5 linked regions of the Kluyveromyces lactis genome follow. The protein of the gene in region 5 purifies or fractionates together with the protein of the main gene of each other region. This does not show direct contact. Links are inferred from orthologs where the notes say so. Each region holds a gene or a part of one and is shown on either strand. Other genes may lie near its edges.

What was found.
Region 1: the proteins of SMX2 (region 5) and SNU71 purify together in Saccharomyces cerevisiae (affinity purification with mass spectrometry, with the first as the bait; 3 studies listed by BioGRID). This does not show direct contact. The link is inferred for Kluyveromyces lactis from reciprocal best matches to the Saccharomyces cerevisiae genes SMX2 and SNU71.
Region 2: the proteins of SMX2 (region 5) and MUD1 purify together in Saccharomyces cerevisiae (affinity purification with mass spectrometry; 4 studies listed by BioGRID). This does not show direct contact. The link is inferred for Kluyveromyces lactis from reciprocal best matches to the Saccharomyces cerevisiae genes SMX2 and MUD1.
Region 3: the proteins of SMX2 (region 5) and PRP3 purify together in Saccharomyces cerevisiae (affinity purification with mass spectrometry, with the first as the bait; 3 studies listed by BioGRID). This does not show direct contact. The link is inferred for Kluyveromyces lactis from reciprocal best matches to the Saccharomyces cerevisiae genes SMX2 and PRP3.
Region 4: the proteins of SMX2 (region 5) and BRR2 purify together in Saccharomyces cerevisiae (affinity purification with mass spectrometry; 5 studies listed by BioGRID, with this or other methods). This does not show direct contact. The link is inferred for Kluyveromyces lactis from reciprocal best matches to the Saccharomyces cerevisiae genes SMX2 and BRR2.

Annotation. Positions count from the first base shown.
Region 1 is NC_006039.1:1,598,136-1,605,094, reverse strand, and holds SNU71 (Snu71p), read left to right. Parts: upstream 1-3,420; coding exon 3,421-5,127; downstream 5,128-6,959. Other genes in the region: nicotinamide-nucleotide adenylyltransferase NMA2, read left to right, coding at 538-1,887; MCY1 (putative cysteine synthase), read left to right, coding at 2,112-3,266; MSB2 (Msb2p), read left to right, coding at 6,049-6,959. UniProt on the Saccharomyces cerevisiae protein: Component of the U1 snRNP particle, which recognizes and binds the 5'-splice site of pre-mRNA. Together with other non-snRNP factors, U1 snRNP forms the spliceosomal commitment complex, that targets pre-mRNA to the splicing pathway.
Region 2 is NC_006038.1:784,557-790,706, forward strand, and holds MUD1 (Mud1p), read right to left. Parts: upstream 2,484-6,150; coding exon 1,566-2,483; downstream 1-1,565. Other genes in the region: GRS1 (glycine--tRNA ligase), read left to right, coding at 1-439; CBP6 (Cbp6p), read left to right, coding at 852-1,322; TEF2 (translation elongation factor EF-1 alpha), read right to left, coding at 2,941-4,317; MRL1 (Mrl1p), read right to left, coding at 5,739-6,150. UniProt on the Saccharomyces cerevisiae protein: Involved in nuclear mRNA splicing. The principal role of the U1A is to help fold or maintain U1 RNA in an active configuration. It is the first snRNP to interact with pre-mRNA.
Region 3 is NC_006041.1:824,675-831,229, forward strand, and holds PRP3 (U4/U6-U5 snRNP complex subunit PRP3), read left to right. Parts: upstream 1-3,569; coding exon 3,570-4,844; downstream 4,845-6,555. Other genes in the region: exosome non-catalytic core subunit RRP42, read right to left, coding at 1-464; RRT6 (Rrt6p), read right to left, coding at 859-1,632; TMA17 (Tma17p), read right to left, coding at 2,361-2,843; HSP10 (Hsp10p), read right to left, coding at 5,172-5,489; MCO10 (Mco10p), read left to right, coding at 6,212-6,439.
Region 4 is NC_006039.1:1,581,380-1,588,601, reverse strand, and holds the start of BRR2 (ATP-dependent RNA helicase BRR2), read left to right. Parts: upstream 1-2,400; coding exon 2,401-7,222. Other genes in the region: RAD24 (Rad24p), read right to left, coding at 92-2,038.
Region 5 is NC_006040.1:657,495-662,742, reverse strand, and holds SMX2 (mRNA splicing protein SMX2), read right to left. Parts: upstream 2,607-5,248; coding exon 2,583-2,606; intron 2,505-2,582; coding exon 2,307-2,504; downstream 1-2,306. Other genes in the region: KLLA0_D07744g (ammonium transporter), read left to right, coding at 1-577; EMA19 (Ema19p), read left to right, coding at 1,088-1,600; GNA1 (glucosamine 6-phosphate N-acetyltransferase), read left to right, coding at 1,616-2,182; MDJ1 (Mdj1p), read right to left, coding at 3,149-4,564. UniProt on the Saccharomyces cerevisiae protein: Plays a role in pre-mRNA splicing as a core component of the spliceosomal U1, U2, U4 and U5 small nuclear ribonucleoproteins (snRNPs), the building blocks of the spliceosome.

The sequences.
Region 1 (6,959 bases), on a different chromosome or scaffold from region 5:
CTGTGATCCCAGACTTGGGGCTATTCCATATCTGCTCTCTCTGAACTCATGTCACAGTGGCCGAGTGGTTAAGGCGATGCCCTGCTATTCTTAGATAGAGAGGCATTGGACTTTGTCTTCGCAGGTTCGAATCCTGTCTGTGACGCCATTTTTTTTGGCAACCGTGAAAGCCCTTTCACGTTTCGTATGTGGTGACAGTAATGCAGACCTTTTTACAAGCCGTGTCCTTGACCATGCTTTACCACTATAATCCACATGTTCCCTCTTGACAACACCTGATGTCGTAAACTTGCTGTCCTCGTCACGTTTACATCACGTTTCGCTCGAATTTTCACTCGGGTCTCTCTCTCACTCTCTTTGTCCTGAATATCCCGCTTTCTGCATTCAGCCATCTTTTGTCAATATTAACTCTTCGAGAACCGGTGACAAACAAGTGACAAAACTAGTTTCAAGAAACTATCTACAACAGTGAACGGTGTTTCCACTGGGTAATTTCGGTCCTCGCGCTTCCTCGCTCATCGCTCTGCAAGCTTCATCATGGACCCTACCAGGGATCCCAATTTCAAGTCCCCTCAGGAACTAGACAGTGAGGCACTTCAATCAAGCACCGATATTCCAAAAATCGGTCCTATTATCCCATATGTGCTAGCTGATTACAATACAGCTATAGATAAACCGATTCGTCCTCGTAAGTATAAGAAAAATGCCATTAAACGGAAATTGGCTTCTTCGATGACTTCTACCAGTGACGATTCCAACGAACAGCAGCATCTGTCAGCAAATTCGAACAATGGGTTCATCCCGTTGAAACAGAGGGAACTACAGCCGGTGTCAGCTGAAACGAGTGGTGATTCTGAATCTGAATCTGAATCTCCTGCAGAACCGGCGAACGTAGATTTGGATATAGATCCAAATCCAGAATCGGATGAAGTTATGGCTTCGGCTCCAGTGGCTCATGCATCCGGTTCGGTCTCTGGTCCATCTGGGATGGCAGCAGCTGCTGCAGCTGCTGCATCCCTCGACCAAGAGATTACTTCGAGAATTCACAAGTTCCAAATCGCTGATTTGGAAGAAGTGCCTCATGGGATTGTGCGTCAGGCCAACAACTGGAAGGATTATCAATTCCCGGCTCATAGACTGAAACAAAGGTTAAGAAACTCAAATAAATTGCCCTTGGTCATTGTTGCTTGTGGATCGTTCTCTCCAATCACGTACCTTCATTTGAGAATGTTTGAGATGGCATTGGATGCAATTTCTGAACAGACCAGATTTGAAGTCATCGGTGGGTACTACAGTCCCGTAAGTGACAACTATAAGAAACCGGGATTGGCACCAGCTCACCATAGAGTGCGTATGTGTGAATTGGGCTGTGAAAGAACTTCTTCATGGCTCATGGTTGATGCTTGGGAATCGTTACAACCAACTTACACTAGAACGGCAATGGTGTTGGACCATTTCAACGAAGAAATTAATGTGAAACGGAAAGGTGTCATCAAAAATGACGCCGGAGAAAGAATGGGTGTTAAGATCATGCTTCTTGCCGGTGGTGATTTGATAGAATCCATGGGCGAACCTAACGTCTGGGCAGATTATGATTTACATCATATTTTGGGTAATTACGGCTGTCTCATCGTGGAAAGAACAGGTTCAGATGTTCGTTCGTTCTTGTTGTCTCACGATATCATGTACGAACACAGAAGGAATATCCTTGTCATTAAACAGTTGATCTATAATGATATCTCTTCCACCAAGGTAAGGTTATTCATCCGACGGAGAATGTCGGTTCAGTATTTACTGCCAAATTCTGTCATCAGATATATTCAAGAGCATGGCTTGTACGTAAACCAAACTGAACCAGTGAAACAAGTTATCGGTAACAAGGATTGAGTGTGACACTAATTGTTCTAATCACATATTCTCCTTCTCCTTTCTAGACTCCTCCCTGGTCAGACTCACGTGATGTCTTTAACTCGAAGATAATATACACACAAATTGTAACAGTTTTTAGTTAGTTGAAATCCTTTTTATAATAGAAGTTCTTAATCAACAATAGTATTTGTCGTCTAGCGAAAGTTGCGCATGCTGTTATCCTTTGATCTAGCTCCGTAACGATGACTGCTGCAGACAGATGGAAGGATTATGCCTGTGTAACATCCCTTTTCGTGGCTGTTGCATCGTTATACTATGCATATAAGGTTAAGACAACTACATTAACTGCTCTATCACCACCAAAGGATGGAGTGGAAGACTTGATAGGAAATACACCAATGGTAAGAATTAAATCTCTTTCCGATTATACTGGTTTGAACGTTTTTGCCAAAATGGAGTTAAATAATCCAGGTGGTAGCGCAAAGGACAGAGTTGCCTTGAATATTATCAAAACCATCTCATCGCAGGAAGGTATTAAGGGTTCAAGTGATAAGAAAAATAGAATCTTTGAAGGAACAAGCGGATCTACAGGTATATCCCTTGCAATATGTTGTAACGCGTTGGGTTACTCATGCCATATCTCGCTACCGGACGATACAAGCCAAGAGAAACTTTCTCTTTTAACTGCACTTGGTGCAATAGTGAACAAGGTAAAACCTGCTAGTATAGTGGATCCGAACCAATACGTAAATGCAGCTAAGTCGTGTTCAGAAGAGTACACTGAGGGTGTTGGTGTATTTGCAGATCAATTCGAGAACGAGGCCAATTGGAAATGCCATTACGAAACGACAGGACCTGAAATTTATCTACAATTAAATGGGGAAGTGGATGCATTCATCACGGGATGCGGTACTGGTGGTACCATGGCCGGTGTTTCTCGTTATCTAAAGGAGAAAAGAGGTGACAAAGTACATATTGTGTTGGCTGATCCGCAAGGCTCGGGTTTCTACAATAGAATCAAATACGGTGTCATGTACGATAACGTAGAGAAAGAAGGAACAAGAAGAAGACATCAAGTGGACACATTAGTGGAAGGAATTGGTCTTAACAGAATTACAAACAACTTTCTGAAAGCGGAAAATTATATAGATGATTCCATCAGAATTACAGACGAGGAAGCTATTAAGATGGCCAAATTCTTATGTGTAAATGACGGATTATTCGTTGGTGCCAGTACTGCAATCAATGCAGTCGCAGTGCTGAAATATGCGGAAAACTTACCGAAGGGTTCAAATGTTTGCATCATTGCATGTGACAGTGGCTCTAGACATTTAAGCAAGTTCTGGAAAGAGGCCCTGCAGGTGAGTAACGATCTTTCAATTTCAGATATCATATAAATAACGTACAGTGTGTTTAACTTTGGTCTTTTGTAAATATCAATTAATTGGAAAAATCTTGAAATATATATATCGAGAGAGTAGACGTAAAGTTTCAGCGATGAGTTAGCAAATAAACGCTGATACTACTAGGCCGAACGTGTTTAACTCACTAATGGATACTGTATTGTTTGTGTCGCCCACATTATACTGCTGTGGAGACACGAAGAACTGGCAATCACAGGTGCCGAAGCCAGGATATGTGCCGATTTTGAAGAGTGATATCCCCAAATTTGAACAGTCGTTGAAACAAGCCAACAGCCATAGAGACCATGATAAAGGGAATTCAGTAGCCTCGAAGACTAATGAAACGGACAATTCTGATGAATTCAAGACTTCAACTTCACGCTATGTTGATTTGAAGTCCTTTTTACCAATTTCGTTAGAACAACAGTTGCATACCGTTTGTTTAGCACATTTTCCACTGGGACTTGGATCCAAGGGTATTGATAAAGTTATGGACAGACTAGACAATCTAATACGGAAAAAGCTGCAAGTTGAAGATAATGAGACCAAATTTATCAAACAATGGAGTTACGTCGATTGTGTGAATACGTTGACGGTATATATAAGTTTCCAGGAAAGTATAGTGGAAGAATATGGGAAAGCGATACAGTTACTTGAGAAATTGTTTGACAACGGGTCAGATGGGATCGGACTTCACATGGATGAAAACACTAGACGGTTCGTTTGCGATCTGACGGAAGGTTCTCCTGCTAAGGAACTCGATGAAACTGCAAAAGATGAGTTCTCCGCATTAATTACAATGTTGAGATCTGAACCAGGCTCTATATCTCAGGAGAAAGGGTTGGCTGGAAATAGTGCCGTTGAGTATAACGTGGATATAAGTACGTTGAGTGACCTTCCGAGTTCCTCATTAGACCAATTGTGTAAGGATATTGTTGAGTTTAGAACTCGTGTCATTACGTTAGAGAAAGAGAAACGGAATAAAGAGCTAGCGGAGGAAGAAAAACGGAGGAAACAAAACTTGAAGCATATATTTGACCGTATCAAGGTTACTAATGGAGGCTCGGAAAAAGGTTCAGCCCCTGAAGCTGAAAGTGACTCTGAAGATTCAGACGACGAGGTTGAGGGTTACGATGATGAAGATGCGGACGATTACGAAGCGGAAAAAAAAAGAGTTCAAGCGGAAAGAGATGCGCAAGAAGCCCAGTATGAATCCATGGTTCATAGTTTCCAAGATTCGTTACTGGTCCAATACTCATCGCTACGACAAGAATACCAAAGGTTACAAAACTACGAAACGCATTTACAAAAGAACAAAGGTCCTATGTTAAAAGAGTTATTACATCTTGCCATGGATCCTTACCACGACCATCACAGGCCATACAAGGAATCTGAATCCAAGGCAGATGAAGAGGACCGTAAACGGGAATCTGAAGAAGTACCAAAGAAAAAAGCAACAGAAACAGAGCCAGAGACAGAACTAGAGCTAGAGCTAGAGCCAGAGACAGAGACAGAGACAAAATTGGTATCGGACGCAGATGCGACAACGGCTGCACCAAAGATTAAATTAGCACTAAAGAAATCCATTGGAAAGACAAAGAATGAGATAGAAGAGGAAGAGACTCCTGAAACCGATGCGTTCCAACAGAAGTTGAATCTACTAAGGGAAAGCGGCGTAGTGGAAGAACTCGTCAAAGAATACTTGGGAGTTTACGAGCCCGACTTAGTCTCATATATCTTTGAAAACATCGAAGAACATCAATCGAAACAGGCACTCGAGACTGAGCTTACAGAGACGTTCGACGAAGATAGCCCTGTCCTAGTGAGCCGTATATGGGAAGCGATGGAACAGTAGTGGAATATACCATACATGTGAATATACATATATATGTATATGTAGGTATGTGTGTCACATGTCTAATAATGAGATTCTATTACCCGGTTACGTCTCACGTGACTGTCACGAAATTTTTTCGCCCGATTCGAGTGTTCCAGCCAGATCGGGCGGTAACATGAGGTTACTAGAGGTCCGGGTAATCGTGTTTCATATTGATTCGCGTTTTGTATATCGTATATAGCGATACATTCTCAACTTCACCAATTTTTTACCAGATCCAGAACGGTTACAGGAAGAATTGGCAGGATGAGATAAACAAAGGAACAAACATAGAGATTCTATTACTTGTAACTTATGTACACACCTGATAATGGTGGAATTTAGTTTCTGTTTTCGTTCGGGTTGCTTTAGGCAAAAGATAATAAGTTTTTAGATTCGAGATTTATCGTCAGGGTCAAACTTTTCAACAAAGAACGTTACCAGTGGTAATATTTTGGTGTATACATCTTTCTTTTCTTTGTGTTCCTCCATTCATTCATTTATTGATTCATCTCAAATTACTTATAAGTTTTTTATACATTTGATAAGAAGGATCTATTAGAGGTTTTTAATAAAGAAAGATTATCAGAACTGACCTACTGATCCAAATTACCTTCCAATCCTCAGTCTTTAGGAAACTGCCATCGTTTGTTTAGTGAGCTTATACTTTGAACGTGACAAGAGCTTCAGGCAGGTTGAAGTGTACTATCGATCTCTGTTTTTTTTTTCCCCGTCCCATTGTTTGGTGATATAAAATTATTACTTATTATTACGGATTGCCGGTTTGTCATTAGAAAACTTTGAGAATCTCAGGTTTGAACTAAGGCCTTCGGCAAAACTTTGATTACTTTTCCAACTATTTTACATTCTTTTTTCATTTGATTTCATTCGCTTAACACGATGCAATTTTCCAATTTAAGGTTTTTGTTAACCGTTATATTCTTGGGCAACTTTTTAGTATCTGCCCAAGGATTCCTGGATTTTTTCCAGACTTCTCGTTCTGATAACTCTACTAGATCCATTCAGAGTACCGAGACCAGTTCCAGCACTGAGAGCAGTTGGAAAACTACTTTGAATTACGATTCATTGACAGTGGCAGAACCATCCACGTTCTCGCTTTCTTCAAGCACGCACTCTAAGAGTCGTACGAGAAATGGTAATGGCGATGATGATTCGAGTAGTACTTCAGGTACCACTTCTGTGTTGACTCCTTCATCGATCACCTCTTCTGCGATCTCACGTTCTACCAGTGGAAATGGTATCCCATCTTCTGAATACTCGGCTTCCTCCTCGAGCACTGCAAGCGATTCTGCTAGTGTAACTACTCTATCCGGTTCCTCCGCTCTTTCTTCTGAGACTACCTCTTTTGGGACTTCTTCAGCTGAAGATTCTTTTGTTACGACAACTGTTACTGAAACAGGTTCTGCTGAAAGCAGTAGTGATACAGCTTCCTACATCACCGATTCTGCTTCTCAGGTTTCTTCTTCATCAGTCCTCTCGTCCGTGGAATCCTCTTCTACTGAACCATCCACTTTTTCTGTTGTAACATCATCAATTGAGCCTTCTTCAACTGAACAAATTACTTCTGATGAAACGTCCTCAAGTGATGGTGGATATTTCGTTACAACTTTCACTTTCCCTCCTGTTACTTCTTCAACTGAATATTCCACTTCTGATGAAACGTCCTCAAGTGATGGTGGATATTTCGTTACAACTTTCACTTTCCCTCCTGTTACTTCTTCTACAGCATCTGACGAATCTATCCCATCATCAACTACCGATGAATCCACTGGTATTCAATTCCCCACTTC
Region 2 (6,150 bases), on a different chromosome or scaffold from region 5:
TTCCATCTTCGAACACTCCTTCTGGAGCAGACCAGAAGACACTGCCAGAGCCGTGTTATCATTCCCTCCACTAGTTGCTCCAACCAAGGTTCTATTGGTTCCTCTATTGAACAACCCAGAATTATCGAAGATTACTGCCCAAGTTTCACAAATCTTGAGAAAGGAACAAATCCCATTCAAGGTTGACGAATCTGGTGTCTCTATCGGTAAGAGATATGCCCGTAACGATGAATTAGGTACTCCATTCGGTGTCACCATTGATTTTGATTCCGTCACTGATGGTTCCATCACTTTGAGAGAAAGAGACTCTACCAAACAAGTCAGAGGTTCCGTCGCGGACGTCATCAAGGCTATCCGTGAAATCACTTATCAAGGTGTTTCATGGGAAGAAGGTACCAAGGACTTGGCCCCATTCAACTCTCAAGCTGAATCAGAATAAACGTTTACATAAATATCGGCTCCTCTTCTGCTTCAATTCCGTTCGAAGAGGATGAATGAAATGTAAATAATCCCCGCTTAAATATTAATAAAGTATTTCACGTTAAATATTAAATCTGGTACTATTCCAATAATGTGTAACAAAGCAAAACTACAGAGAAGGCACTCCAGGTAGCATGCAAATTACCTGTCGCTAGAAGCGAAGTCTACTTGAACCTCTGAGATCTTTCTTTTTTTTAATTTCATCCTCTGACTTAGAGCATCAAGAAAAAACGAAAATTTTGGATTGAATCGATATAATGACAAGAAAGTTGGTTTGCATATCTGACGGTAGATACGGTTGTGTCATGCCAGCAAAGACTCTATCTAAACTAGCGAGTTACAATCCATATTAGCACAGATACAAAACAAAGATGTCGCAAGCAACAAAAGAAAGTGCTAAGCAATTAGTGAAGCTGTTAGAGAAGTTCCCTAAGGAGCGTGTTAAGCATCTCATTTCATTCAAAGAGTCACAACTAGATAGGTTCCGTCCAGTTGCCGGAATAGAAACCGGTAGTGCCTCTGAGCAAAGTAAGCCTTCTCTTGCAGAGATTAAGGATATTATCAACAGAACTTCTGGCCCATTAGGTTTGAAGAAAGATCTATTAAAGAAAGTTCAAGAGGCTTTACCAGAAGAACATTTCAACGATACTCAAATCCAAGAACAGATAAGATCGTTGAATGCTATAATGAGCGATAAATATAAGAATTATTATGCTGTAGGGGACAAATTATACAAGCCAGCAGGTAACCCAATTTATTACAAAAGATTGCATGACGAAATCGAAGGTAAGGGTAAGGAAACTTTCTTTACAGCTATGAGAACTGTCGTATTTGGTAAGTAATTTCGGTTTCAGGGTTTTAGAGCTTCGTATGCATATATGTATATATCATTTCTGTCTTTTTCGTTTCTAGTGTATCTGTACTGTACAGGCCTCCATACACTGACTGTAAATAATTTATATTCAATCTATTCTATTTATTCTGTTTATCTGTTGCTGATAAATGTACTATTAAAGCGTAGATTGTTGGTTCCAGTTCCGACCTGTGAACGCTTTGAATTTATTGATTCGCATTGAAATGTAGAATCATTTCTTGGCGTATCCAATCTTTATCGTTACATTCTTGAATGGATGATCATGACCTAAGGTTTCAACAACTTTAGTGGCATTTGCTGTAGAATCATATTCAACAAAGCAAAGATTTCTGACACTGACCAATCTAACCTCTTTAAATCCATCTGAGACAAATAACTTTTCCAATTCTTGCTGAGTAACATCTTTTGGAAGATTTTGAACCAATAGGACATGGTGAGGGGGATTTCCGACAATGTCAAAGACTTTTTTAGTGGAGGAAACTTTCTCCGACTGCTGTGACATAGCAGTCTTGTTGGTACCTTCAGGATTTGTTTTTCTGGGCTTTGAAAGAAGCTTCTGTATGGTTTCTTCGTCCAAATCCTTCTTTCTAAGCTTACTTCTAGCTCTTCTTAACCTTCTTTTCAACACTTCGTTTTTTGTCTTGGTCTTGGGCTGTGAATTATCCACAGCTTTACGTGTACGTAACCGAAGTTCATCCTGTAGCTGTTTCTGTTGTCCCTGGTAGTACAAAGCTGCGAAAGAATCCGTATTCGCCAGCTTTATATTTATCTTTCTCCCATTAATCTTGAGCTTGCCTTGAAATTCTATAAGGAACGTATTACAACTGTCTGAGTCCTTAAAAGTGACGAAACAAGACCTCCTCAAGGGTCTTGAGCCATACCTTGATACCTCTATGATCTGATACTTTTCATCGAGTACTGGTGTAACCGCATCAGCCTCACTAGTTTCTTTCTTCGAGTTCAGATCGAATCTTGTACTAACATCATTTGAAATAGAACGATGATCTGAATTAACACTTGATAGTAGTAAGGCTCTGAATTTGGACAATGAGTCGGGCCTCGACGGTAGATTCGACAGATATAAGGTACTGACCATTGCTTGCCGATAGATACTAGCTTTGTATGGCATGTGTAATAACCTAATAGAGAAGGATATCACAACCTATTAACAAATAGTCCATACGTATTAGTATTAGTAAATTTGTTGACAATGAAAGTTGTTGTTACGTTAAGTTAAGATTATATGAATAACTAAATACTAAATAGAAATGTAAATACAGTGAGAACAAAACAAAAAAAAACGAACAGAGAAACTAAATCCACATTAATTGAGAGTTCTATCTATTAGAAAATGCAAACTCCAACTAAATGGGAAAACAGATAACCTCTTTTATTTTTTTTTAATGTTTGATATTCGAGTCTTTTTCTTTTGTTAGGTTTATATTCATCATTTCAATGAATAAAAGAAGCTTCTTATTTTGGTTGCAAAGAATGAAAAAAAAGGATTTTTTCATACTTCTAAAGCTTCAATTATAACCAAAAATTTTATAAATGAAGAGAAAAAATCTAGTAGTATCAAGTTAAACTTATTTCTTACCAGCCTTGACAGCGGCCTTGGTGACCTTACCGGCCTTGTCAGTCTTGTCAACGGACTTGATAACACCGACAGCGACGGTTTGTCTCATGTCTCTGACAGCGAATCTACCTAGAGGTGGGTAGTCAGAGAAGGCTTCAACACACATTGGCTTAGATGGAACGAACTTAACCAAAGCAGCATCACCGGACTTCAAGAACTTTGGAGAGTCTTCCAACTTCTTACCGGATCTTCTGTCGTTCTTTTCCAACAATTCGTCGAACTTACAAGCAATGTGAGCAGTGTGACAATCCAAAACTGGAGAGTAACCAGCAGAGATTTGACCTGGATGGTTCAAGACGATAACAGTGGCGTTGAAAGAAGCAGCAGCCTTTGGTGGATCGTTCTTGGAGTCACCACAGACGTTACCTCTTCTGATTTCCTTAACGGAAACGTTCTTGACGTTGAAACCGACGTTGTCACCTGGTAGACCTTCTTCCAATTGTTCGTGGTGCATTTCGACGGACTTAACTTCAGTAGTAACACCGGCTGGGGCGAAGGTAACAATCATACCTGGCTTGATAACACCGGTTTCGACTCTACCGACTGGCACAGTTCCGATACCACCAATCTTGTAGACATCTTGCAATGGCAATCTCAATGGCTTGTCAGTTGGTCTGGATGGTGGTTCGATAGCGTCAATAGCTTCCAACAAGGTCTTACCCTTGACGACACCGGACTTGGTTTCCTTTTCCCAACCCTTGTACCATGAAGCATTGGTGGTGGCTTCAATCATGTTGTCACCGTTCCAACCAGAGATTGGGACGAATGGAACAGTCTTTGGGTTGTAACCGACCTTCTTGATGAAGTTAGAGGTTTCCTTGACAATTTCTTGGAAACGAGATTCATCCCACTTAACGGAATCCATCTTGTTAACAGCAACAATCAATTGTCTAACACCCAAGGTGAAAGCCAACAAAGCGTGTTCTCTGGTTTGACCATCCTTGGAGATACCGGCTTCGAATTCACCGACACCACCAGCAATAATCAAGATAGCACAGTCAGCTTGAGAAGTACCAGTAATCATGTTCTTGATGAAATCTCTGTGACCTGGAGCATCGATAACGGTAACTTGGTACTTTGGAGTTTCGAACTTCCACAAAGCGATATCGATGGTGATACCTCTTTCTCTTTCAGCCTTTAACTTGTCCAAAACCCAAGCGTACTTGAAAGAACCCTTACCCAATTCAGCGGCTTCCTTTTCGAACTTTTCAATGGTTCTCTTGTCAATACCACCACACTTGTAGATCAAATGACCGGTAGTGGTAGACTTACCAGAATCGACGTGACCAATAACGACAACGTTAACGTGAGACTTTTCCTTACCCATTTTTAATGTTACTTCTCTTGCAGTTAGGGAACTATAATGTAACTCAAAATAAGATTAAACAAACTAAAATAAAAAGAAGTTATACAGAAAAACCCATATAAACCAGTACTAATCCATAATAATAATACACAAAAAAACTATCAAATAAAACCAGAAAACAGATTGAATAGAAAAATTTTTTCGATCTCCTTTTATATTCAAAATTCGATATATGAAAAAGGGAACTCTCAGAAAATCACCAAATCAATTTAATTAGATTTTTCTTTTCCTTCTAGCGTTGGAAAGAAAAATTTTTCTTTTTTTTTTTAGAAATGAAAAATTTTTGCCGTAGGAATCACCGTATAAACCCTGTATAAACGCTACTCTGTTCACCTGTGTAGGCTATGATTGACCCAGTGTTCATTGTTATTGCGAGAGAGCGGGAGAAAAGAACCGATACAAGAGATCCATGCTGGTATAGTTGTCTGTCCAACACTTTGATGAACTTGTAGGACGATGATGTGTATTTAGACGAGTACGTGTGTGACTATTAAGTAGTTATGATAGAGAGGTTTGTACGGTGTGTTCTGTGTAATTCGATTGAGAAAATGGTTATGAATCGAGAATACTACGCCGTCTTGTGGGAGTGTTCCTCCTGCCCGTTGACGTTTTAGGCTGGGCTAGTGGCCTAATGAAGCTAGGTTCTGCCAAACCTTGACAGCGGGGGGGAGGCCCCCCATGGGGGGCCTCCCCTTCTCTCCTCTTGCTTGCCTATGGCTATAATCTCGAGGCCAGCCTGGCTTCTGTCTAAAATTGATGTCGAGGCTTTATTACCTGAAAGAGTAAAATCGACTCTGAGGGTTAGGGCTGCTTTTGTGCGGCTGTTTCTGCACTGTTTCACCTAGTCAAGTCATGGTCATATACGTATCTTGCACTATATCATTTCTTTTTGGGGGGTAATTGCTTTGGGCTTGCGGGTCTTTGGCACCATTTATGAGAAGGCATTTGCTTGGACAGGCTCCTTTCCCCTGTTCCAGTGGGAGCTTTCTTTGGACTGCTTAGTGGGACTCTCTCTAAAAGCGAGACTGAGGCCATTCACATCCACTCCACCAGTAGCATAGCGAAACCAGAGACGCCCTGCATACACTTCTAGCACTGAATGTAGTTCTGGTTCTGAATCTTACCAACTTCAGCGCTAAAGTGGTTTCATCGTGAAACCGTTCCTAAACAATCATTTCTGTTTTAAGTATTATTTTGTGTTTTCTTTTTTAGTTTCATTTTTGTTTTTATGATGTATGGGTTTATTAAAACAGTCCCAGATATGTGTTTGGCTGCCCGTGCCCCCCCCCCGTTCCAACCGTACCAAAACCCTTCAAATGATGGTACATACGCTATCCATAACAACAGAACACGATACACTATTCCATTTTTGAATATATATTTCACTCCATGCTATTTGCCTCAATATCTAAACTATCTAACAACTCGTTCTGTTGTTCCATATCTATACTGATTCCGGTATTCTCTCTTGTCCTTAGTCTAACCAGATTTTTGTTACTTTTCTTTCTGCCTAACCCGCTCCATGGTACACTTCTCAGGATTCGTCTCCATAGTGGTTCTTGCTCGGTGTTTACCCATCTTGGTACTTCGCTAGTTCCACCACTGTCTCCATTGTGTCTCTTCTCTACGACTAGTAATTCATACACTACTCTTCTTGCAATTTCAATCAACAGGAAAACGGCTATGATACTGGCAAAGATTCCAACTGCGTTGATGTCATTGCCAATGTTCGAAATTGGACATGCATGTATACTTCTTACTTCAAAGAAATAAGAACAATTGTGTAATTGACCA
Region 3 (6,555 bases), on a different chromosome or scaffold from region 5:
AGTTTCGGTAGCCATGTGTTTTTCAAAGCGCTGAAAATGGCGAAAGATATCATTGAGATCGGGTATGATTTGGAGGCAAGCACCAAAACGTCAATGTAAAGTTTGAAACTGTACCTTTTCGTGAGCATTAGCTTTTTCTGATCAATAGTTTGTTTGAGCAATTTGGATAATAGTGAAGACATGCTGGTAACCAATGGAGAGTCATCTCTGTGGCCTTGGATGTCGACATCAGCAACAAGCAATTCTTGTTCTACCGTATGGTCCACGACTTTAGTTTTTACACTCACTATACACTCGCTTCCTCCGCTTAATATCACACGGCTGGATCCATTAGAATTGGGAAGGAAATCAGTAGATACTTCCAATGGTCTAAATTGATGTGGACCTCTTCCATCCGGTCTTAATGGGGGATCTAATGTTAGAGAATCGTATAGGAACGATTTTTCAGTTAACGAAAGTCCCATTATCTTCTTATATTATTTGATTTTTTTTTTAACGAGATGGGTCTGCTTCGTGAGAAGATAACTCGCTTTAAACTCAGATGTTTCTATTGCTGTTGATAGAAGGGAAATAAGCCTTTTCTCATCATCTCATTGCATCTCATCTCAAGCTCATATAAGTCAATACTGAAATTAGTTCAGATTTTTCATTTCTTCTTTTCGCTAATGCACATTAATATTCGGTGTTACCCGGATATAATTGGCCATTAGTGAGATGTTCTGTCAGGTGTCAGTCACGGTTCGAAGTACTAACATACGATGAATGCTGACTGACTGATATTGAAGTTGTACTGATACAGGGTGCTGATGTTTAATATATATACAAATACATCAACTGTTTTATGGACATAATTATTCCTTATCTTTTGATTTTATTTTTGTTCTTGGTCGGTTGCCCTTTGCTAACGATTCTATACAGTAAGATTGGAAATACCAGCAAATGACATACTCCAATGATGCAGAATAATATTGTGACTTTTGCCAGTAGATAAGAGAACGTTGATTCGTTGAGATTTCTATGATCGACATCTAAAGCATGCAATTCCTGGCCAGAATCCGCACTGACCAACGAAAACAGGTCATCTCTACCCTGGGATAACAAATTGAGATCATCATCAGTAATCAAATCCCACTTCTGTTTCTGAATCAGATCATTAGACGTGATGCTAATTGCTACTTGCTTCACACTATCTATGGCATTCCATGAGGAGTCTAATGAAAAGTTGATAAGGCATATTTGGAAATTCTGATGTTCGTATACGCTCACGTAAAGCACAGTTTCCCCATTCTCTAAACCATGTCTTGACTGTACCAAATTTTGGTCTTCGTCATAAATATCCATGTTGACAACCTGTTTTCCCTTTGAACTCGTAGTTGGACCAAACCTATCCACATTAACTTTCCATTTAGTAAATTCTTCAATTTCAATGAGGAATTGTAAATCCTTGGCCTTAATATTCGTATTCATTTCGAAACAAGTTTGATAACTAGACGCGTCACTCGAGCCGTCAACTTCCCATTTTTTATATGGCCACAAATCGAATTCTAATCGATTTGGGTTTATCGGCAGTTTAAGGGTCTCCGAGACAACTGAACATATCAGTAAAAGGACATATATCAACGATATCACCATTTAAACAAAAAGAACAAAAAAATTACTAGCTGGAACGAAATGAACTGGGTATAATAACAAACGAAAAGACCACAATCTAATTACTGAAGCGAAAGCTGTGGATTAGACCCAAAAAAAAAATTTTGTCTGGCCGAATAAGAACACAAAAAGATATTGACAACACGTATGAAGCACTGAGAAACAACCTTAAAGGGAAAAAAAGAATTGTTTCGATTTGAATTGAACCTGATGCTTTATAGATGGAGACCAATCATTAACCCAGGCAGTTCCCACTTTTCCAACCGAATAATTGCTGTCAAAACGACTCTCTGTATGTTTTTCTCCAAAAGTGTTCTTAACATTTTCATGCCATGGCACAGTATATATGTCGATCATATCAAAATGAAATGAAATGTTAACGTGAACCTGATAGACTTTTTTCGCATCGACGTTTACAGATGGAAGAAAATGAATGCCACAGAGAACGGCCCAGCCTGCTGGAAACAGAAAAAGCTAAATGTTAAGAATGGTCTGTAGCAGATTCATTCCAGGGTTTTTCCCAGCAGATTACCAGCCCGAAACTAAGAGAAAGAAACCAGAACGGGTGCGTTTATTCATCTCTGAAAGTATACAGTTTTCCGAGGTCATACCAGCCCACACTTTTAAACATGCATTTTTGCTTTCATTCATTTTTTTTTTACTATACTTCAATATATGAGTACATTATATATATTTTGTTTGGAATGGGTTCATAAGTTAATGCTATTGGAACCAGTGGCATCAGCAGTATTATCTGAATCCACGCCAACGGTTCTCCGGCCTTGAGATTGCAAAGATCTTTTTAATTTTGTGGACGCCGATTGGATGTCACCGGAAGATACAGTGCTAGCCCTGTGCTGTTCTTCTAGGTCCAAAGCTTGTAGCCTTTCGTTATAATTATCCAATACTTTTCCATTTTCCGCTAATGAGTCTTGGAATACTTGCAAATCCTTCTCATCAATATCATCATCGGAAAAATTCCCTTCCGCGTCCAATTCTTGTCTGTTCAATACCTCTTCACCCTTAAGCTTGGCAACGTACGCTTCTAACCTTCTGTTAGATCTTTGTAAATGCTTCACTGCATTATTGATCTCTTTTCTGATCTCTTGTAATTCATGCTCAGACGATTCTCTAATAGCAATCACGAACTCTTGAATCTGAATTGGTCTACGAATACCAGAAGAATGTGCCATATTTCTATGTTAAGTCTATCCTTAGCTATGTATGTTTTTTCACTTTTTAGTCTTGTTTCGGTTGGAAAGTACGAGATGAATTAAGATCGGTATCCTTAACTATATATTCAAGCTAGCCTTTTATAACAATAATTTAAGCCAGAGTTTATTCTCTTACTATTTATACCCAACGGTAAGATATCACGCCCCACATATGACACCCACCCCTCCGAGGCACCATCATTGCAAATCAGAGTGTATGATGCGCACGTTACTATGCTGACTTTTTCCAGCTCCAAAGCAACACTACTTGTTAAAAATCACATCAGCTTTTCTGCTTTCCTTTCTCCTGGGCTGGATTTCCCCGCCTAAGTCCTTCTCTGGGAACTGAACTTTGTCCCTTTCAGCAAAGAGTTGAGAAACTCACGAGGAACACAAAAACAACGAGAATTAGGGGCCGCTTATGTAATTCTTTTCATCCCATAAAACAGAAAAATTGTGCTGTTTTGGCTTCCACCCATACACTACGCACAATCAGGGGTTGGTGCAATTTCGGATATATTACCCGGGCATGGTGAATTTCATCATAGGCGTTACAGAGTGAAGATGTGATTCAGATTCTATATGAGAGAGAGTTCATTGCGATGCTAGAGAAGAGATGGACAAAAGACAAATGGTGATGTGTAATAGTAACTACGGATTGTCTGGAATAATCGGCCCTTTGTACAAAAATCATATCATCATATAATGGGCAATGATAATAATACTAATAGAGGGTTAAATCGGAAATTGCATTCTGCATTGAGTGTTGAGAATGTCAATTTATTGAGATTTCAAGGTAGACGTTGTGGAAACCCATACTTGCAAGACGTACAGGCTCATGGTTTTGAGCCAAAGGCAAGAGTATCGTCTCATTGGTATGAACCGGGAGAGGTTGTCCAGCATGCTGCAAAATTAAGACAAGAGAACCGTGAAAAGTCTGAAGAAGAAAGAATACGATGGGAAGCTGAACTGGAGAAACAGCAGGAAATCGAACGGAAAATAGAAATAGGGGAACTACCTGATAAGCATGAAGAAGTTTATTTTACCGATTTATCGGACGTTCCTGATGTGGAATGGTGGGATGTTCCATATATCAAAGATGGTAGCATCCATGAGAAATATAGTTTGGATTATTCCACATTGAATTCGGACGATGAAAGTGATGATGAAGAGGAAGAGGAAGAGGAAGGTGCACAAGATAAATTCCCAAGTATTAGGTATATTCAACATCCGGTACCGATTGAAAGGCCTAGGGCAGCTGTTCCAGTGGCAGAGATTTTCTTAACGAAAAACGAACGGAAAAAGGCCAGAAGGAATACGAGGAAGTTGGTACGACAGGAGAAGGAGGAGAAAATCAAGCTTGGTATAGAACCAAAACCAGAGCCCAAGGTTAAATTATCGAATATGATGAATGTGTATGAGAATGATGCCAATATTGCGGATCCAACTCAATGGGAATCCATCGTACGGAGACAAGTGGCAGAGAGGAAAAGGAAACATTTCGAAGAAAATGAAATAAGGCATCAAGAAAGCCTGAAACGAAGGAAGGAATCCCAGTTACAAGCACACAGCAATGATAGTCCTCTAGAATACACGTGTGTTGTTTACATGTTTGACGAAATACAGAATCCTAGTATCAGATACAAAATCAAAACCAACGGTAAGCAATTGAAGTTGAAAGGATGCTGTCTACACATTCAAAATGGCAAAGGTATAATTGTAGCTTTTGGAGATGAAAAATCTATCCGCTTTTTCGATAAGTTGGTGACAAAGCGAATCAATTGGTCGGAACCATACAAAGATAGAGATACCGAAGAGACAGTACCTTGCGACGGTAAAATTACAAAGGTTTGGCAAGGATTAATTGGTGATTGTAGATTCAAGGGCTGGTTCATGCTCGATTGTAAAGATAAAAACCAGTTAAATAATATCTTAGAGCAGCACGATGCATTGACTTTTGTACCATTAGGTAAGTTTTAACAAACAATTACGTACTGAAAATGAAATCCAAGTTCGAAATCATCAAAATTTTGGAATAAAAGTAATAGTGTATGTTAAAAAAAATAAAACCGGAGTAAATCCAACGACCTACTTAGAACATTTATTTACATGGGGTGAGTAGGCAGTCCAAGTGACGCACAATGGTCAACATTATTGAGTTTTATCACTACCAACATCAAAAAAAAGTCATATTTATATAAATAATATCTCCCTTCGTCTCTCAAAATTCAATCATCAATAACAGAGAAAGATACTGGCTCATAACATCGTTCTTTAAATTTAATTCTGGTGTAACGTTCGAGACCTTTATTCGACGACCTTGGCCAAGATTTCAGAGTCTCTGAATAAAACGACTTCATCATCCTTGCCCAACTTGATTGTGGATCCACCGAATTGTGGGATCAAAACTTGGTCACCTGGTTGGACAGATGGTGTAATCTTGTTACCGTTGGAATCGGTGAAACCTGGACCAGCAGCCAACACAGTAGCTTGGTTTAATTTCTCAACGTTCTTTTCTGGCAAGTATAAACCAGAAGCAGTCTTGGCTTCGGCCTTGATTCTTTGCACCAGAACACGGTCCAACAATGGAACAATAGATTTAGCAGACTTCAATAGAGTGGACATTTTGACCTATTATTATAGTGATTACTTCTTAGGGGAAGAATATCAATCGAGGAGGATCAAGGATCTTGTACAAACGCTGACTTTGATATAATCTTGGCACTCTATTGTTGAAAAAATGTCGAATCCTTCATTTTGTAAAGTGTGTAAGCTTTATAGCCTTTTATAAATTTCAACTTTCATGTCAGAAAGGTTCCCGTTTTCGGTGATGCTAGAAAATTCCATGTGGACAGTAAACTACAAACTACTGAACATGGCAATGATGCGGGCTAAATGACTAGCTGGTAGTGGGCGCCGCTTTGGAGTTGTCAAAACAATATATAGAGCTTAAACAATGGTGGTTCACAGCATGTTGAAGTCACAATTCATAGGGCCTTATGTTGCCGGAAGGGGGCAGTAAGGGAGGAAAGGAAAATAAAATGTTGTCCACGTGACTTACAATTTTTTTTCATGAAATTTAATCACTCCGAACGTCTTTTGGCCCAAGTTTTCGAGGTGAAATTCGAAGGGATCACACAGAAGATGTCGCAGAATTTCACTCTTTTCGCATAAAGACACTGACCTTCCTCGAATGAGCTTTTAAGAATTAAAGGATTTCGTTCCAAGGTTAGCAAGTGTTATACTTGGTTTATGTGAATTTTTTTAACCCTTCAACACCGGTTAGGGCTGATTCCATTTCAATCATAAAAACTGTACCAAACACTACAATTTCATACATATTAATAATGGGTGCTGCTTACAAGATTTTCGGTATGACTGTTCAACCACATATTTTAGCCATAGCTACCTTGGGCTCTGTTTTCGGTGGTGCAGCTTACGCCATGTCTGGTTCTAAGGATGCTGAAAAGGCCAAGCCAGCTGTTGCTACTCCAGCTGCTCCAGCTGCTGGTGGTTCCGACGAATTTGACGTTGAAAAGTTGTTGGGTGATTTCTTGAAGGAAGAATCCAAATAAATTCAATAAAGATCAGGTATTTGAACTACCCCCCTTCTATAGATGACGATTTTTTAACGATATTCAAAATGAAACACGACCTCCTACACAGTCTCAGTATTAAAACAGTTTCCCTT
Region 4 (7,222 bases), on a different chromosome or scaffold from region 5:
TAGAATAGTAACATTAGTAATAAAAAACATCTGATTAAATGATAAATGCAATTTCATAAACGAGTTGGGGGTGTTGATATAACAAGTATTCCTATAGGTTCTCTATATCAGAATCAGATAGAGGAACGTCTTCATTAATTGAGTTCTGAGTGCCATTGAACTTCGTTTGTTTTGGCCTTTGGGACAAAATTTCGTAAAGTTCAGAGTCACCCTCTTCTACTTCCAGACCGATAGCTGGCTCGCTGTCTGAATCCACTATCGGATCATCTTTGAAATCATGGTTATCTGGTAAAGTAGAGGGGTCCTCGTCTAGGAGCGACTGCTTCTGCAAAGATTTCAGTTTTTCCAAGTTCCGTTCATTGGTTAATGCTAAATTTTCGCTCTTAGAATCATCTAAACTAGTCGTTAATTCAGAAGTTGCATGCATCATCCTCATTTCACCACCAACTCTTTCCAAGATGTCAAGATCGTCTATCGTCAATAATCTCCTATACTTAGACATATAATCATTATATTGTTCTGTGGTAGGTTTCAACGAATCAATATAATATTTCAAAGACTTCGCCTTAAATGATAGGAATTTACGTATTTCAGGACCAAAATAACTCCCATAAAGAACCGCGTCTTTGGTGGACCACAAGGAGTGGTATTTGTAAAATTCAACAGCAATGAAATCCTGCAATTGAAATTGAAACCTCTTTTGTTCCTGAACCATCTTATACTCTCTTGGAAAGTTTGCTTGACCATGTACGCTGTGATTGGAACTTTTCACATCGCTAGAAATATTTCTAACTTTCCCAAGACAATAATACAGAGGTTCTTCTTCTAGAGGTCGTAGTGTGTCCGTTATACTCAATGTGTCCACAACATCTGCAGCATAGTGCAGCGGGAACTGTGATTTGTTTAATTTAGAGAAATTCTCCAGGATACCCAATTTGAACGTGTCATTGGCAATTGTTCCGCCGTCAACAAGCTCATTTATCATATACCTATCATTTTCATTATCCTTCGATCCATATATTACCTTACCAATACCATGGAAATAACTTGTTGAACTTTCTCTCGTGAAAATACTATTAGTTTCATCAAAGCTAGAAGTGCACCAGAATTGTAATGCCGCGATGCCAGATCGAATATCACCTGTACTAGATGCAAGGTTCTTAATGAAAGTGCCACTTCTTTGGTATTTCTCTGAGGGGATTTCTCTTCTAACTTTCTGTATTATCTGCTTTAAATGCTTCGTCATTAATGTTGCATTGATGGGATTAAACTTAATTCGATGCAACAACGGGTGCATCAAGATATCTTTGCCCAAGATTGTTTCTGAAATGAAGGTAGAATCTATTCCAAATGATGAATTAGTAGAATTCGAGTCCAGTAGTTGACATTCAGTAAGACAAATCACCAGTGGTGGTAGACGATCAGAAGCAAAGAGCCACGAGAGAATACTCTCCCTGAACCTTTTCAACGTTGACTCGTGGAAAACATTCGGCAGATCTTCGACAAGAAGTACTGACAAATTCCTACCGATTAAGTACTTAGATTGAAGCAAAAAATCATCAAACGACTCAGATGGTGAAACGCTACTCATATCTGTAAGATATTCTGTAAAATTCGGAACTTCCCTTCCACTCACTGTGAGTCCTGACGTAGCTCTATAACGAGGCACTATCTCATCGCTTATAAGCTTAACACAAGTACTTTTAGAACAACCTGCAGGCCCACTTAACAGAAGAATCCGTTCATCTGATTTCCCTGAGACCATACCCTCTAAATAATACCGTACTTCCTCTATCTTCTTCTTATGCAATGCGATGTCATCAACTCTCTTCGGACTAAATTTGTCATACCATTGCAGCTCACTTGGCAACGTCCGTTCTCCACTAGGTCGTGTCAAATCCACATGATCCAAATTCGTGTAAGGAAAGGAAGGAACCGACGTAGATGATCGTTTCACCTTCTTATCCTTTCTTGGGGATGCTCTGCTTATCCTATCGCTGATTTCACTGATAGATCGTTTCAAACTAGGAGTTGACATGCTATAACATCATTAAAATTCCTCAATTTATGACGAAAATAAATGTAATGTCGTTTAGTTCAATTCTGCAAAACGGCCGAGCTCCGTCTTGGCGAGCTATTCGGTATATAATTTGGTATTAAGAGTAGTTTACCTCTCTTCAATCTGTATTCTCTTATATTGAGTGCTAATCTCTGACTGTGGAAATATCTAGCTTACCCGCACATTGAAATTAAGCATTCCATTTGATATTTGCTAGTCGAATATGAATTATATGAATGGAATAACATCGTATAGCTTAGATGTGGTATCTAAAATGCACATAGAGCGAGTTGAAATCAAGCAATAGTCAGTACTGATAAGGTACATACTTAGACAGAGAGATGACCGAAGATGCTAAAGAAAGAAAGCAGAAAATCAAAGAGATTTACCGTTATGATGAAATGTCAAATCAGGTACTACGCGCTGATAGAAGTTTGATAGAGAACAGGACGGATGTGCATCGTGATGCGGAAATATCACAGCCGAAGTCTATGTCTGGTAGAATCAGGCTTACTGAAATGGGATCTGCCGTTAAGGAGAACGGATTAGAAGATAACGAGCGTGCTACAGCAGAGAAAGAATTCGAAAAGCGTATGAAAAGCTCATCGCCTCAGCAGACGAATAGCTCAAGGCTGGACAGAACCACGGTACTTGACGATATAACGTCTTTGAACTACATACCGACTGATGATAGAAATACTGAGATATACGATGAGATAACTACATGGTGTTCTGAGATACTCGGTGATGATATACCGCATTCCATTATAGTAGACGCAACAGATTTGATAATAGTAACTTTGAAGCAGGATGAAAGTGTAGACCTAGAGAGCAAGAAAAAGACTATTGAAGTAGCTTTGGATACTGAATTAGACAACGCTTCATTCAACTCACTTGTAAAGCTCGTGAAAAGTATCTCTGATTACTACGCAGAATCCGCCGATACCGGTAGAACAGTAAATGTAGCGATAAATCCCAATGAAGATGATGACGAAGCAGAAGAAGAAGAGGAACCAAATGCTCTACTAGAAGCTGTAGATGACGTGGCAGGGGAAGAGGCCGATGAAGAAGCGGGTTATAATGAAAAAACAGACAATAGTAATGATAATTTTTCTGTACGAAGTGACATAATGAATAATTCAGAATCTTTGCAAATACAGAGTGCAGCTGTCATGGAAGAAATAATAGATATCAAAGATATTGATGGATTTTATCTTCAGAGGAAGATCAGGAAACAACTGAAAAATATTGAAGAGACAAAGGTTCAGGAAATGGCCAATAACGTATACGACCTGCTCGCAAACGACATCTCTGAAGAGGAACTGACCCAAAATCTCCACGATATTTTCGGACCTGATGCGAAACAATTGATTAGGCTAATAGTCTCAAATAGGGAGACATTGTACTGGGGTCACAACTTACAGAGGTCTGCGAACGAGAACATTGACGAAATTCTAGGGGAAATGGCACAAAGAAATTTATCACACTTGGTAGAAGCATATAAGGCGAAACCTGATTCTGCTAAAAGAAAGTTGAATTCAGAGCCAGAAGTTGGAACCAAAAAACAAAAAATAGAAGCTGAAGATGAACCCAAAGTAATTGCCCTCGATGACCTTAAATTATCGCAGAATACCAAGTTTTTGTCAGACGTGAAAATTTCGTTACCTGAAAACTCATTCAAAAGAGTCAAAGATAGCTATGAAGAAATTCACGTTCCCCCGCCCAAGAAGGTTGATGACAATTTCCCGCTTGTACAGATCGAGAGCCTACCGAAATGGGCTCGCAGTGCTTTCCCTACGTCTGAAACGACTTCACTAAACAGAATTCAATCTGAGGTCTACCCCACTGCTTTCAATACAGACGCTAATGTATTACTATGTGCCCCCACAGGTGCTGGTAAAACTAACGTAGCAATGTTGACTGTACTAAGAGCAATGTCCCATTACTATCGGGAAGAGAGAAATGCCTTCGATTTGAAAAAATTTAAAGTGGTTTATATCGCACCGCTCAAGGCATTGGTACAAGAACAAGTCAGAGAATTTCAAAGAAGGTTACATCATTTTGGAGTGAAGGTAGCAGAGCTTACAGGTGATTCCAACTTATCTAAGCAGCAAATCGAAGAAACCCAACTCTTAGTAGCAACTCCGGAAAAATGGGATGTAATCACAAGAAAATCAACAGACACTAGCTTTCACAAACTCGTACGTTTGATCATCATAGATGAGGTCCATTTATTACATGATGAAAGAGGTCCGGTCATTGAATCAATAGTAGCAAGGGTTCTACGGGACACAACGGCAGAAATTCCTACGAGGCTTGTTGCACTTTCTGCCACTTTACCAAACTACATTGACGTGGCCAAGTTCCTTCATGTTCCTGATAATGGCTTATTTTATTTTGATTCAACTTTCAGGCCATGTCCTTTAGCACAACAGTATTGTGGCATCACTGAGAAAAATGCTTTAAAGAAGAAGAATGCCATGAACCAGGCATGCTATGATAAATTATTGGAGGCCGCAAAAGAAGGACACCAAGTTATCATTTTCGTTCATTCGAGAAAGGATACTGCTAGAACTGCTAGGTGGCTTATTCAAAAACTTATAAATGAAGATAAAATAAGTGCGTTCCAAGGTACCGATAAAGGTTCCTTGGAAATCCTCAAGACAGAATCCAGTAATGCTACTGATAGATCGCTCTCCGACCTTATACCTTATGGATTCGGTATCCATCATGCAGGCCTTACAAAGGATGATAGATCTTTATCCGAAGACCTTTTTGCTGATGGTTTGCTAAAAGTTCTTGTTTCCACAGCAACTTTAGCATGGGGTGTTAACCTTCCTGCCCACACTGTCATAATTAAAGGTACAGAAATGTATTCACCGGAGAAAAGTGATTGGGTCATGCTTCCCCCACAAGATATCCTTCAAATGTTAGGAAGAGCTGGTAGGCCGAGATACGACGTAAATGGTGAAGGGATCATTATTACAAACCAATCAGACGTACGTTATTATCTCGCTGTGTTGAACCAACAACTCCCTATAGAATCTCAAATGATTTCAAAAGTTGTTGATAATCTTAATGCTGAAATAGTTCTAGGTAACGTCACCTCACTAGATGAAGCAGTTAACTGGTTGGGTTATTCCTATTTATCAGTACGGATGAAGCAATCACCTCATTTATACAACTTGCAAGGTTCTTCAGGAGACATGAGTGATGCTGAGCTCATAAGAGTCAACAGAAATATTGTGCATACGGCGTTGAATTTATTACAGAATAACGGTCTTGTAAACTATGACTCTCTTTCTAAGTCGGTACAACCAACTGAGCTAGGTAGAATATCCTCTCATTTCTACATAAGTTATTCGTCAATTGCAAAATACAACCGGGAGTTAACAATAAACAGCACTTTGATCGACATTCTGAGAATATTTGCTATGTCAGAAGAGTTTAAGAACATTACCGTAAGACAAGAAGAGAAAACTGAATTAGAGAAACTCGTCGAGCGTTGTCCAATTCCGATCAAGGAGAAGGCTACTGATTCATTAGCCAAGGCAAACATTCTACTTCAGGTGTACATTTCAAAATTACGATTGGAGGGGTTCGCTTTAAATGCGGATATGATTTACATTTCTCAGAGCGCAGGTAGACTTTTCAGAGCACTCTTCGAAATGTGCTTAAGAAAAGGATGGCCAAGACTAACCAAGCTTCTGCTTACCATCTGTAAATGCGTCGATAGCAGAATGTGGCCCACGAACTCACCATTTAGGCAATTCAAGAGATGCCCTCAAGAAATCATAAGACGAGCAGAAGCGTCTGGTTTACCCTGGAACGATTTCTTACTGTTGAAGAATGCTCATGAGGTAGGCGAAGCCTTAAGATCTCCAAAAAATGGTAAAGTTGCTTTCGATTTGCTTCAAAGATTCCCGAAGATTGGCATTCACTGCGCAATGCAGCCAGTTACAAATTCACTACTTCGTTTTGAGTTGGAACTCCAACCTACATGGATCTGGGATCTGGATTCCAGCAGCTATTCTGAAACATTCCTTGTTCTTGTCGAAGACACAGACGGTGAACAAACAATTTATCATGAGACATTGCATGTTGGGAGAAATGCAATAAACAGCATTGTGTATCTTGACTTTGTTGTATTTTTGAAGCAGAAAATGTTACCGCCGAACTATTTTGTATCCGTTATATCAGAAAAATGGCTAAACTGTGAGTACAAGATTCCTGTTATTTTGAGTGAAATAAAATTACCTAAACCATTCCCTCCTGCAATATCTGTTTCTGATTCAATTAAGAAAAGTACCAAGGAACTACAAATTGATGAATTTGAGGCGTTATACAATTTCCATTCTTTCAATAAAGTTCAAACTGAAGTTTTCGATACATTATACCATGAAACTGAAAACGCACTAATATGTGCAACAAAAGGTTCCGGTAAAACAATAATGGCAGAACTTTCATTATTGAACCATTGGAGAGAAGGCAGAGGACGTGCGATTTACATTTGTCCATTCAAAACCAAGATAACTGAACTTCTAAAGAATTGGAAAAAGCGATTCTCACATTTGGCTGGTGGAAAACTGATCAATGCTTTTTCTGGAAATTTGCAGCACGATCAAAAACAATTAGCCCAATCTCATCTAATATTAGCTACTCCGAATGAATTTGAATACCTGTCTCGTCGCTGGCCGGAAAGAAAAAACATTCAAAGAATAGAACTAATTATTTGTGATGACATCCATGAAATAGGCAACGAGATAATTGGACCGATGTATGAAATCATAATTACGAGAATGATTTTCATTGCAACACAATTGGAGAAGAATATAAGGATTGTGGGGCTTGGAACCCCACTTGCCAACGCAAAGGATTTCGGAGAATGGTTAGGTGCAAAAAAATCAAGTATTTTCAATTTTACTGCTTTAGAAAGGCAAACACCCTTGACAGTCGATATCGAAACTAGCATTTTAGTAAAAAGCCCTACTTCTAATCGAATGGCCCTAACTGAGATCGTTGAAAGTAGTAATCGTGTCGCCTCACCCGATGAAACTATAACAGTTTTCGTCACTGACAGATATGAATGCGTTTCTTTCGCGACAGAACTCGTTGGTCTCGCTGTTGCTAAAGGCATTGATCTTCTTAGAGCAGAGGAATCCA
Region 5 (5,248 bases):
TATTACCCCTGCCGCTGGTTTCGTTCCATTATGGGCTTCCGTTATCATCGGTATCGTCACAGCTGCTGGTTGTAACTTGGCTGTCGACCTGAAGAATTTGTTGAAGATCGATGACGGTTTGGACGTGTACGCTTTGCATGGTGTCGGTGGCTGTATCGGTTCAGTTTTGACTGGTATTTTCGCTGCCGATTACATTAACGCATTGGCCGGCGTTGAAAGTTCCCCAATTGCTGGAGGTTGGATCAACCACAACTACAAGCAAGTTGGTTATCAATTAGCTGCCGTGTGTGCTACTATCGCATGGACCTGTGTCGTTACCGCATGTTTGCTATTGATCTTGGACAGGATCCCATTCCTAAGATTGAGATTGAGACCTGAAGAAGAAGAATTGGGTACTGATGAAGCTGAAATTGGTGAATTCACCTACGAAGAAGACGCTGTCTACATTCCAGAACCAATCAGATCCAAATCCATCGCTGAAGCTCCTCCAGCAAACATCGATGACAAGATTCACACAGGAAACAACTCTTCATCAGAACTACAATCTGAACCAAAAACTACTTCCGCTAATGCCTAAACTTTATTAATGTAATAATTTTGGTTTTGCAAATTTCAGAAACTGCAATTACACGAAATGTTCTTTTATTATCTGCTTTCAGCTGCTAATTGTAACCGTTAACCCTGATTTTACTGGTGAATCATTCTAAACTTCATTTATTCATTTCAAGCTAACACCAGTTCACACCAAAGTTTGGAAAGGAGATCTACTTCTAGCCGTCTTATGTGTTCAGTAATATCTAGTTCCTAATATGACACTTATGTACCACAATAATTAATAACGAATCTCTCATAAATCCCTTTGTTGTATAGCCATTCACGACCTTTGTATCAGGTTTGGCGTTCGTCTAGTTGCTGCTATGAGATTCCCTCCAAATCCGGGTAATATAAACAAGTAAGACGTTAAATTCAGCATCTGATAGAATAATCGATATAACTTGAGTAAAATCCTCATCGGTTTGAGTAGTGTTACCGACTCTAACCAGCGCTTCAAGAGACCAAGGTATATAAAGGGTAACTAAGGTCTAATATGAGTAAAGAGCAACGTGATTCGAGAAAGACTCAACTATGGAAGATCAATCTATGGAAGATCTGGTATGCAGTTAACATTCCAATCATTACGTTTTTGGATTCGAATGCAGTACTTCCTCCATATCTTCAATATACTAAGGGACTTCTAGATGGTTATATTGATAATTTCAATGATTTTCTAACTGCCAATCCTCCAAACTGGCTCAAATATATGACAATCATTGAAATTTTATTCCAACTGCCTGTGGCCATATATTGCTTATACCAGCTGCTAAACTTGTCAAAGTCAAAAACTATCAAAAGAACTTTATTCACAGTGGACCGTCTATCTAAATGCTATGCATTCAATGTCATCACCACCACTAGTTTTTGTATATGGTACGTTTGGGCCTATGGGTACTATCCAGCCACGATGAATACCGATCACGTGTCATTGAGTAACCCGGACAAACTGGCGCTAACGATGGTCTACGTTCCTTATGTTCTAATTCCAGCATTATTCTTTGTATAGGCACAATGATTAAATATGAACCATGATAAAAGAACCTTTATAGTCTCTTTGTTACATCAACAATTGATATTACCATTCATTTCTACCATCATCCTGCCGTTAATTGGAATTCTTACCATGTCATTACCAGAAGGATACACAATTAGAAGAACCAAGAAAGATGATTTTTCTGGGGTTACATCTGTGCTGAAAGTGCTAACGATGGTTGGTGATGTGAGCCAAGATCAATTCCATTCACTAATAGACCATTGGGATTCAGTCACGATAGGAGATATACCTATGTACAATAGCACTGTGATCGTTGACACAAATGGGGAAGTTGTCGCCACAGGAAACGTGCTAGTCGAGAAAAAAGTTATTCACGAATGTGGGCTTGTTGGTCATATTGAAGACATTGCAGTGAGAAAAGATCAACAGGGGAAGAAATTGGGATTGATATTAATTCAGTATTTATACAAATTAGCTAACGAGTATGGATGCTATAAAGTTATTCTTGATTGTGATGAAAGTAATGTTGGATTCTATGAGAAATGTGGATTGAAAAAAGCTGGTGTCGAAATGCAAATCAGATTCGACAAATGATGTTGTAACCAGTGTGCGCTCTATCATATCTATCCTTCCTTTCTACTAGCATAATTCATTGTACGTAAATGTCACTAAGTAAAGTGTTCCGACACATTGAGTTGTATTTGTCTCCCTTCTGCTCTTACAAACTGTCAAGAGGTTCTATCGATACAATGGAGTTACCTCTAACAACAGTCTGGGGTCCCATTTGGACCTCTCCTTCTTCGAAAATCTGTATTGGATTATCCAGTACTAAGTTCAAAAATGCATCATATCCTCGTAATATTCCAATAATTTTCCTATTGCCGTTAAGCTGTAGAATGAGTTTCTTGTCCATGTACTGTTTGCAACGAATCATATTATAGTTAGTAATTTAAATTCTGATAAGATTTTTCCTGGAAAACAGGGGTAAACATACTTTTCTCAAATCTGGAGATGTCATGGAATATTGGATGGTTTATAATGGGTCGTACGGAAGTGATAAGTCGTAGATATAGTCTCTTAACTCTTGGCAAAAGTCCTTCGAAATTTATCTTCAGTATATTTCAATTGATGAATTTTGTACATAATTATGCTTTTTCCATTCAAAAGTAATTTTCAATGTCACAATGTTAAGAAGACAACGATGGTCAGAATAAGTTACTAAAGCATATCGACCCTTACTGAAAACATTCGTTGTCATTGGCATGAATTTCAATCCCGAGCTAAATATGGTAAGTAGGGATAACTAGTAAGAGAATATCAAAACGATAAGTATTATGCGCTAAGTGCAATTATATATATATATAGGGAAATTGGTATTTACATGATGTTAAAGGGTTTTATAAAATAATGTGCAGTATATGCAATTACTGGCTATGACTGCTGTAAGTGGTACATGAATAATGAGAATGCCAATGTCGTAATTAGTTCATCCAATCAAAGAATTATGAAAGAATGAAGGTGGAATGTATGACGGGAGAGCATATATGCGATTTAAGGATTTCATTCCCCTCTGATCTTCTTTAAAGTGTTAGACAAGAAATTTTCCAATTTCTTGATGGTTCCTTCATTGTTTTCAACTGTGTCTTTATCAGCAGAGGAAGAGTTGTCCTTAGCCGACGATCCAGAGGGAGTAATGGTCCTTCTTGCAGTGGTATCATTGGTCAAGTGGGCCAAGGTCTCCCATAGATAACGTTCTGTTTCATCCTTTGGTTTTTTGATAACAATCTTGAACTTGACAAGCATGTCACCCCTGTCACCTCTAGCTCCACGAGGGACACCCTTATTTGGAATTCTGATGACTTGATCGTGTTGAGTACCAGAGCTGACCTTCAATCTGATCTTTTCTTCCTCTACGGTGGGTACTTCAATGACGCCACCTAGTGCTGCCGTTGTAATTGGGATTTCCTGAGTGTAAATGATGTCGTAATTATTTGAAACTTGGAATCTTGTGTCTTTCCTGACTCTGACACGAATCAACAAATCGCCTCTGGTTAAATGCAATTCAGATTTCATGGACGGATCGATAGCCATACCGGGGTAACTACCTTGGTTAGGTACTCTAATTGTGTCACCGTCCTGAAGTCCGTGAGGTAAGTCTACGGTGATAGTTTTATTTGAATTCAATTTGAAACCGTGGCTATGACAGGTACCACATTTATCGCTGTCCTTAATAGTTGAACCCTCACCATCACATGTTTGACAAGTAGAGGCCATTTGGAAACCTGCTCTTACATGTACCTGAGTACCTGTACCATGACATGTAGGACAAACACTTCTCGAATGTCCAGCTTTCAACCCACTTCCATCACATGACGAACACGGATCGTAGCATTGGTAATTCAATTTGACATTCTTCACACCGAAGACGGCATCTTTGAAGGATACTTGGAATGGTACAGTGACATTCTCACCTTTATATTCACGGACAAAATCGGAACCGCCAAATCCTGCTCCATGCGAACCAGCTCTCCTGCCTCCGGCACCACCACCACCACCACCACCAAACGCACTTCCGAAAAGATCTTCAAAGTTCAATCCACCGAAATCGAACCCTCCAAAGCCTCCGAATCCTTGTGCACCACCAGCACCAGCACCGCCATAGGCACCGCCTGGTCCACCGGCACCACCAGCTTGGCTGAATGCAGCAGCACCGAATTGATCATACTGTTTCCTCTTATCTTCATCGCTTAATATTTCATACGCGTTTTGCAAATCATGGAACTTCTTCTGAGAGTCTTCTTCCTTATTTATATCCGGATGATACTTCTTGGCCAGCTTGTAGTACGCTTTCTTAATGTCGGACTGACTGGAGTTCTTGTTAATCCCAAGGACCTTATAAGGATCCTTAAACTCTTGTCTTAGAAGTCTTGCCGTATGGAATTGACGTGGGTATTGTAATAAATATCTCTTAAACATATGGATATGGGGAAATGAGTTTTTTCTGTAACTCCCTAGTACGTATTTGATCCTATTAAATCTCGCCTTGTCCGAATTCTCTCTAAATGCGACTGGCAGCGTACTTTTTTCAAACAAAGCTAATGATTAGAGCCACCGTAAGTCGAATAGGGTTGATCAATGTGGAACGCTAGCTTGTATATTTATATCAAAGAAGAGACATGACTGATTTCAATGTTATAAAAACTTTGAAGCTTCCTTTCTAGAGAAACCTCTGCTTGACATGTTCAGGCTGAAAGAAAAAATGGAATTTGATAGAAGCTACGATGAAATGCCGATAGTGCGGGTAACGCGTTATGCGAAGAGAACCCGAAGCTTTAAGAGAAAAATCGATCACGTGATTGTTAGAAAACACGTGACTTACTATTATTGTCAACCGTCCTGTCGGTGTATTCAAGATGGGATTATGTGGAGAAGGAATTGACACTTGCAAGCAGCCCACGACAGATATAAATCCTTTCTAAAAAGATATTGGAATGTCACATTACCTCGGTTCACCGCAATGCGCGCTTTGATGCTCAAAATATTTTCAAAGTTTTGCAGCCTCCTCATCCTTCAAGACGGACTTCCATCTTGTTCGGATTTGATAATGTCATCTGCATGCAAATGAGATCGCGAAATGTATAGAAAGGCTGATGATAAATG